2 linked regions of the Mus musculus genome follow. The protein of the gene in region 1 purifies or fractionates together with the protein of each later gene. This does not show direct contact. Links are inferred from orthologs where the notes say so. Each region holds a gene or a part of one and is shown on either strand. Other genes may lie near its edges. The genes, in order: Tnks2 and Rnf146.

Region 1 (3,818 bases):
CCATAAAGTAGATGTACTCTTTAAGTTAATGAACACTAAAGCTTACTTAGTGTGGTGTGGTTGTTATCTCCTACCATCAGGTTGTTCAGGCAAGGGGGGGGTCACTTAAGTGTGAAATTGAAAGGCTGATTTCAAAATTTCTATGTTCAATATGAAAAGAATCCATTTCAGCACAATATTTAGTGTGTGTGTGTGTGTGTGTGTACTAGAATAGCTTTATTTTTGTTACATTTTAGACATAAAGATTGTTCATACCAGCTATGGTTCTTGATTACATCTGTTATCCATATTTTGAGTCATTTTGTGGGGTTATTTGTTTGAGCCAATACTAAAACCAAAACACTCAGGTGTCCTGTTAGGGACCACTAGGGGGCTGCAGCACTCAGCACTAGAAATGTCCATTTTGACCATAGTGATGCTCCAAATGAGACCCCGCTTTCGTCTTTAAGTTTTCTCCTGACAAAAATGGGGACTGGGGGGGAAAGAGAGTAATAGGAAAGAAAAATGTGTGGTGGGTGGTTATTTCAAATTGTGTTTATGGTGTTTTGAGCTAGCTAGTCAGGAAAGCAGGGTGTTTGCTCTGTCTCATGCCTCATGCTTCTACAAAATTTATCATGGCTGAGGTGTTTCTGTAAAGACTTAGTGGTAACTTATATTTAACTTCCTATTTTAGGTAATTCTAAAATTGAAGTATTTCATGCAACTTTCATGTATTCGTGGCCTCTTTCCAGCCACGAGTATTGTTTCTCTTTGAAAGAAAAATGTGTGTATGAACTCAGACAGACACAAATTGCATGTACACAACCACATATAGGTGGAGGTCTAAGGACAACTTACGGCAGTTGGTTCTGATATTTGTTTGTTTGTCTGTTTGTTTATATTGGTAAGATAAAAGGCAATATTTCACTTTTCTGCTTTTTATAGATTCAGAAGGTTTGTAACAAGAAATTGTGGGAAAGATATACACACCGGAGAAAAGAAGTTTCTGAAGAAAACCACAACCATGCAAACGAAAGGATGTTATTTCATGGTAAGTTTTTCACACTGCCCTCTCTCTAAGAGTGTAGCTGATGTCCTCTTAATAAAGATAACATTTTTTTTTTAAAGATTTATTTATTTATTTATTATATGTAAGTACATTGTAGCTGTCTTCAGACACTCCAGAAGAGGGGGTCAGATCTTGTTACGGATGGTTGTGAGCCACCATGTGGTTGCTGGGATTTGAACTCTGCACCTTCGGAAGAGCAGTCGGGTGCTCTAACCCACTGAGCCATCTCACCAGCCCCAAAGATAACATTTTTGTAACTTGTACATTTGTGTTCATATCCTCGGTTTCTTTTGTGTTAATATACTTTATAATGAACATTTTTAATAAATTAAGATTACCTTTTTGGTGGCGAGTAAAACGGCTCAGTTTAGTAAAGGCCTTGCCACATGAACCTAATGACCTCTGAATTCCGTCCCCAAACTCTATGATGGAAGGAAAGAAGTAAGTTGTGAGATCACCAACTCTCACTTCACACTCCCCACACTGCTTCTCATGTGCCGTGTGGTGCAGTTTTGGCTAAGCCTCTGTTAGCAAGGACAGGAGAAGGGTCACTATTTGCCCTTGGAATCTCTTATAGCAGATAATGAAAGAGAAGAGGCACAAGGAGAAGAATAAGAGCATGGCAGGCTAGGCTGCTTGGGTACTTCTGACTGTCTAGGAAAGTGCACAGAGGTCAAGCACGGTTGAAGACCTGATGTCTCTTAGCCTCACTGGGTGCAGTGAACTGTGAAGCCCTTAGGGGTCGTGGGTTTTATGTATTTGACTCTGAAATGTGGTAACTTTTGCATTAGAATTTCAAATACTCTGTTGTTTTTCTAATTGAGTCTATCCTTTGGCATCTGAACCACCATCCTATTGGAATCGTTAATCAACATAAGGAATTCTTAGCTCTAAAAATAGCAAGCTCTAGGGTCTGTAGGGATGATTTAGAAGGAACAGAAAGAGCAAATATTGCTGCTGGAGAAGACTGCAGTTAAGTTTCCAAAGCCCGCATTGGGTGTTCAAACTGCCTGTGATTCTGGCTCTCAATGCACATACCACATGGACCTACAGAATTATGCATAGCTTTGTTGTTGGTAGTTTTTGTTTTTGTTTTGTTTTGTTTTTTTTTTAATTAAAAAATGGCAACCAGTTGATAATAGCACATGCCTTTAATCCTATCAATGAGAAGGCAGAGACAGGCAGAATCTATGAGTTTGAGGATAGCCAGGGCTACACAGAGAAACCCTGTCTACAGTTTTTTCTGGCAGTGATTCATGTTCAAGCATTTAACATCCATGGGCCCAGAGGTGATTCTGTGAGGTGCAGGCCTATCTGGTATGCATAGTTCCAAGACAGCCAAGGCTATGTAGAGAGTCTGTCTTAAAAACAAAGAATTTAGCATCCTGGGCTGGGTGTGTGGCTCAGTGCTTGACTGATGTGCACAAAGCTCTGTGTTTAATCCTAGTTCCTTAGAAAAGTTAACTTCTTAGACGGTTTAGTTTTTTCTGAATTGTTGTTGCCCATGTTTGTATTTTAGGGTCTCCTTTTGTGAATGCGATTATCCATAAGGGCTTTGATGAAAGGCATGCATACATAGGTGGCATGTTTGGAGCTGGAATTTATTTTGCTGAGAACTCTTCCAAAAGCAATCAATATGTGTATGGAATTGGAGGTGGCACCGGATGTCCAATTCACAAAGACAGATCGTGTTACATTTGTCACAGGTGAGAGATTACTTGGTACTTTCATAATTAGAACTAATTACATATTTGAGACATATGGAGGGCAAGGCATACCTGACAATTTGAGGGATACAGATTAAACTGTCTCTTCACAAGTTACAATAACAGCTAATATTTACCAAAGGATCTGAGTGGGCCAGCATGATTCTGAGCACTTGATTTGTTTAATTCAACTTCCTTTTGAATACTTGGTTCTCCATAGAGAATGCTAAGGAGAGCCAGGAGGATAGTGCACACACAACGGCTGGCTGAGCTGTGCTGTGCTGTGCTGTGCTGTGCTGTGCTGTGCTGTGCTGTGCTGTGCTGTGCTGTGCTGTGCTGTGTGTGCTGTGTGTGCTGTGCTGTGCTGTGCTGTGCTGTGCTGTGCTGTGCTGTGTGTGCTGTGCTGTGCTGTGCTGTGCTGTGCTGTGCTGTGCTGTGCTGACAGAAGAGGTGGGATGTGTAAGAGTTAAAGGGCCCGGCCAACTTGTGTTATTCTTACTACCATTATTTTCCCACTAAGCTTAGGCTTTCTGTATTATGTTAGGAATTCCCTTCTGGGTAGGAATTACTATCATTTCTATTTTGAGCCACAAATCTATACTATTTAGGAGGCTACAATGTTTCAAATTCTGTAAATTGAATACTTAAATTTTACTTGCCTTCTGTGGTTGAGATTATTAGTAATAAGCAGTGTTCTCAGCTGGGCGTGGTGGTGCACGCCTGTAATCCCAGCACTCAGGAGGCAGAGGCAGGTGGATTTCTGAGTTCGAGGCCAGCCTGGTCTAAAAAGTGAGTTTCAGGACAGCAGGGCTATACAGAGCAACCCTGTCTCAAAAAACCAAAAAACAAACAAACAAGCAGTGTTCTCATACTTCCCCTGAGCTGTTATTGGAATACAGTACTAGAAATATGTTGTCTAGAAATATGTTATTAACATAGAGCTTTGCTGTTCTGGGTTTCTGTGTCCAGGGTAAAATTTTCCTTTTTATGTTTTAGGCAGCTGCTGTTTTGTCGAGTAACCTTGGGAAAGTCTTTCTTGCAGTTCAGCGCAATGAAAATGGCAC
Region 2 (3,949 bases), on another chromosome or scaffold:
TTTGAAATTAAGAATATTTTAACATCTGAAGCCTATGAAATAGACCCACATGCTTGCTCACATCGACTCACCTATTCAATGTCTTATCCCTTTCAACGTACATTGATGTACAACCTTTTCTCTTCAGGCTATAAAAGTTCATATAATATTTCCTATAACAACTGAATGAATAACCCGAACCCATGCTCTGGATTTACAGCTATTAATGTTAAGCAGATGAGCTCTTCCTTTGGATCAGTGGCCTTGAAACCCTATAAATAGGTGCACAGTACATTTTTCAGTCCTGAATTCAAACAGTGGATGTAACCTCAAAATGCAACATTGTTGCAAGCACAATGCAAACAGTTACAGAATGCGGAAATACTTTCAAAGGTGAAAAGGTTCTCTGGTCCATTTTGTGCAACTTCAAGTAGAGAAAACTGTTCTGAAAAAGATCATGTGCCGGTTAAAATGAACAAGGACTAGATTTTGATGTGTAACACCATATGCTTGCCATAAAACTAACCCATGAAATTTATTCTAGATTCGCGGGACGATTTCTTCTTCTAGCTTCCTATGCTGTTAGGGTTTAAAAGACACCCCAGCACACCCCCTCTCCCATTACATATCTGGCCATTTGTGAGGTGAATAAATTGGAGCATCTCGGGGACCATCCAGTCCACGCCGTGACTTTTCTTGTGCCTTTTTTGTATAAGGAACAAGCGGTAGTCTCTCCAAGGGCACGGCCAAAGGAAACATAGGACTTGACCCAAGGCTGAGTTTTGGAAAGGCTCTTCTTCCTGGTACTGAAGGTCTAGCTTCCTCCCACAAGCCACCTAGATGGACCTCCACCAGTTCAGAACCAGGAGGCCACAAGATGCGCCACGCAGAGGGTGAGGGAGGACCGGAACAGGGACAAGGAGCAGCCCGGTCGCAGCAAGGGACAGAGAAGAGCAGCAGCCAGCGTGGGGACCGCCAGCCAGGGCCGCCGCGCGCGGGATCACGGTGAGGGGGCGTGGCTTCCGCCGGCGCGGCCCCGCCCCTTGAGCGCCGGGCGGTCACGTGACGGCCGCGCGCGTCCCCGTCCGCTGCGGGCTCCGAAGCGGAGGAGAAAAGACTGCGAGGTGGCTGCGGCGGCGGCCGAGAGGTGGGCTCCGGGCCGGACCGGTGAGGAGCGCGGGGGGCCGTGGGCTGCGGGCCTCGGCGGGGCACTGCGGCTTCGTTGGCTGCGAGGCGGCGCTCGGAGTCCGCGGCGGGCGGCGGCGGGTCGGGGGCCGGTAGGACGGGGACGCCCTTGGCCAGCGCGGCCCGGACGGGCGCGCGGAGGGAGGCCGAGCTGGCGCAGCCCGGACTGTGACGGGCGCGGCCCCGGCCATTACTGCGCAGGCAGGCCAGGCTGCGGGCAGCTCCAGCGGGCTCGACCGGGCCTCAGTCGGCCACGGGCTGCATGCTATCTTCCGCCTGCCCTGCCGCCGCCGCCGCCGCCGCGGCTGTGCCTCTGGGTCTTGCCCAGTGCCCGGAGTCGTCCCCTCCTCCTCGCGCTGGCGGAAGCCGCCGAGCGTTCTTGTTTTGATGGCTCCCCAAACCCGAAACCAGCCTGAGGTGTCGGGATACCAGTTGGGCCTCCCAAGCCGGGTGCATCTTGAGAGCTCCGGCAGTCGCTTTGTTCTGCTTGCTGGATGTGGAGTTTTCTCCTTAACCCTCCACCCCATCTGAGAGCGCACGGGATCCCCATTGTTGTCACTGTCTTATTTTCTGGACTTTTTTTTTTTTTTTTTTTTAAAGAGAAAGGGCTATGTGACATTGTTTTTGAGGATGTGGAAATGGAACCGTCCTCTATAATTAGGTAAGATGTTTCCCCACTGTAAGTTAGCACACGCATTCTGACAACTACATTTTATCTGTGTATGTGTGTGTGTGTGTGTGTGTGTTCTTTTGCAAACTAGATGTGCACCTGGAGCTTGGGCATTGAAAGGCACGTATTGTCATAGAAGTTGAATGCGTAGAACATAACAATAAATGATCTGTATCATTAGACTTTTAAAGAACATGGCATATTAAAGAACAAATTAAGAAAACGACCCACACATACTAGCAGAGCGTGAAAAGCGTCTGGGAGCTGTAGAAACACTTGAAAATAGGTGAAGTAAATCTCATTTTAGAGAAAACTCAAGAGTAACTGCTACAGTAAAGATGGAGTTTTGGATATGTTTGCTTGGGTCTTGGATATCATAGAGTTTATTTATGTCTTAATTGGGCGTGTGTAATGGGGAAAGAATGAAAACCCTGTTATTAAACGTTTGAAAGTTTCTGTTTTGTGCTGTTTAAGAACTGAGTCGAATTGTAGTCATGGGGAAATGTCCCAAATAACTGTTCATTAGATAACAGGAATGCAAACATAAATGATTTTTTTTTTTTTGTAGGAGACATGCCATTTAGTAAAAGTGCCACTTTGAAACTGTTGGAGGGTTTGTTTTGTTTTATTTTTTGGATCCAACATGATTCCTTGACTTTGAAGAAGAAAATAATAGGAAGAATTTTTCATATCCATCTGTTTAAAACATATTTTCTGTCAGCCATATATGAGTTTGAAGGACTTATCACATTTCCCTATCAGTATGAGAGATGGAAGATCCGAGTCTTTTCTACCTCCTTGCTTGGTTGCCTTCTTGATCACAGAGTCTGAACTTGGGTAACTGCTGGGTGGATTAGAAACAGTCTTTTTGAGCATACACACTGTTTACACTAGTCTACAGCTTCCTTTGCTTCTTTGTATACTCTCATTTACCTTTCTAGTTAGTTAATACAAAGCCTGTTGTTAAAGGCCTGCTAATTAAAATGTTTGGAGTTGTCCAATTACAGAGGCTGGCTAGAGCAAAGTAACAAAAGCATAGGGATAACTTGGCAAAGGTCACTCACCAGTTAATAAGAGGACTTTCTTATTTATAGAATGTCTGCCAGCCTGAAACATCTGTTAGATGAGAATACATGTATTACATATAAATATAAATTGACATTTGTATCTCATGAGTTAATGAAATCAATACAACGCCCACTTTGCAGAGAAGGAATTTAAAGCCTTACACTTAAGTATAAGGACGGAGACAAAAGTAAATAGAGTCACAGGATGGGGCTTCTTAAGGGCAGTCATACACAAGGCAAGAAGATCCCTCAAAAGTATGGAACCCCACTTAACTGAACTGGGTTTTGACAGAACACTTATTTCCAAGCTTAACTTAGACTTTTAAAACTGATTTGATGATGAAGTATAAAAATTGACACATTGTAACAGTTACATACTTGTGAATTTGGGAATCTTTCTTAAGAAGTTTTAAGATGTGTTTGTTAAATCCCATCTGACCCCTACTCATTTTTCTTGTGTTTATAATAGAGACATATGTAAGTAAACAGATACACATAATAAGGTTTGTAGTCCCCCTATTGATATGTTTTCTATATAGTGTATTCTGTTTGAGTAACTCTTATTTCATTACACCTTAACTTTAAATAGGATAAGCAGAAAATGTCCAACTGTATATAATTTGACATTTATATTTTTATTTCTATTGTGATATGTTCATCTTTTTTCTTTGATTCGCCTTTTTTTTTCCTTAAAGAAACAATATTTTATTCAAGTTTATTATCTAGGGACGGTGGATCTTTAAAAAGTTTGGCTGGCTTAAAATTAATCCTAATTGTTTACATTATCAACCCTAATATTTATATTAGGTATTAATGTAGTCAAGTAATTATGATTTAAATTTCTTCAGTGGTTACAATTTTAAAGTAATAAAATATGACTATTTTTCAGTTTTTTTAATGTAGCTGGATTAATGGACTATTAATCCATTTTGTCTCAACTTAGAAAATTCTGTGAGATATAGAAATTGGAAAAGTCACCATAACCTGCAAGGTTTTAGAGAATATATGCACAATGCCCTCACAGAGACATTGTTTCCATCTTGCTTAC

The links.
Region 2: the proteins of Tnks2 (region 1) and Rnf146 purify together in Homo sapiens (co-immunoprecipitation; 3 studies listed by BioGRID and IntAct, with this or other methods). This does not show direct contact. The link is inferred for Mus musculus from reciprocal best matches to the Homo sapiens genes TNKS2 and RNF146.

Annotation. Positions count from the first base shown.
Region 1 is NC_000085.6:36,886,142-36,889,959, forward strand, and holds part of Tnks2 (poly [ADP-ribose] polymerase tankyrase-2), read left to right. Parts: intron 1-924; coding exon 925-1,030; intron 1,031-2,567; coding exon 2,568-2,754; intron 2,755-3,750; coding exon 3,751-3,818. UniProt on the Homo sapiens protein: Poly-ADP-ribosyltransferase involved in various processes such as Wnt signaling pathway, telomere length and vesicle trafficking.
Region 2 is NC_000076.6:29,359,161-29,363,109, reverse strand, and holds the start of Rnf146 (E3 ubiquitin-protein ligase RNF146), read left to right. Parts: upstream 1-1,406; intron 1,407-1,440; coding exon of another isoform or gene 1,441-1,714; intron 1,715-1,764; 5' UTR 1,765-1,825; intron 1,826-3,949. Other genes in the region: Gm30698 (verprolin-like), read right to left, coding at 601-1,406, 1,441-1,714. UniProt on the Homo sapiens protein: E3 ubiquitin-protein ligase that specifically binds poly-ADP-ribosylated (PARsylated) proteins and mediates their ubiquitination and subsequent degradation. May regulate many important biological processes, such as cell survival and DNA damage response.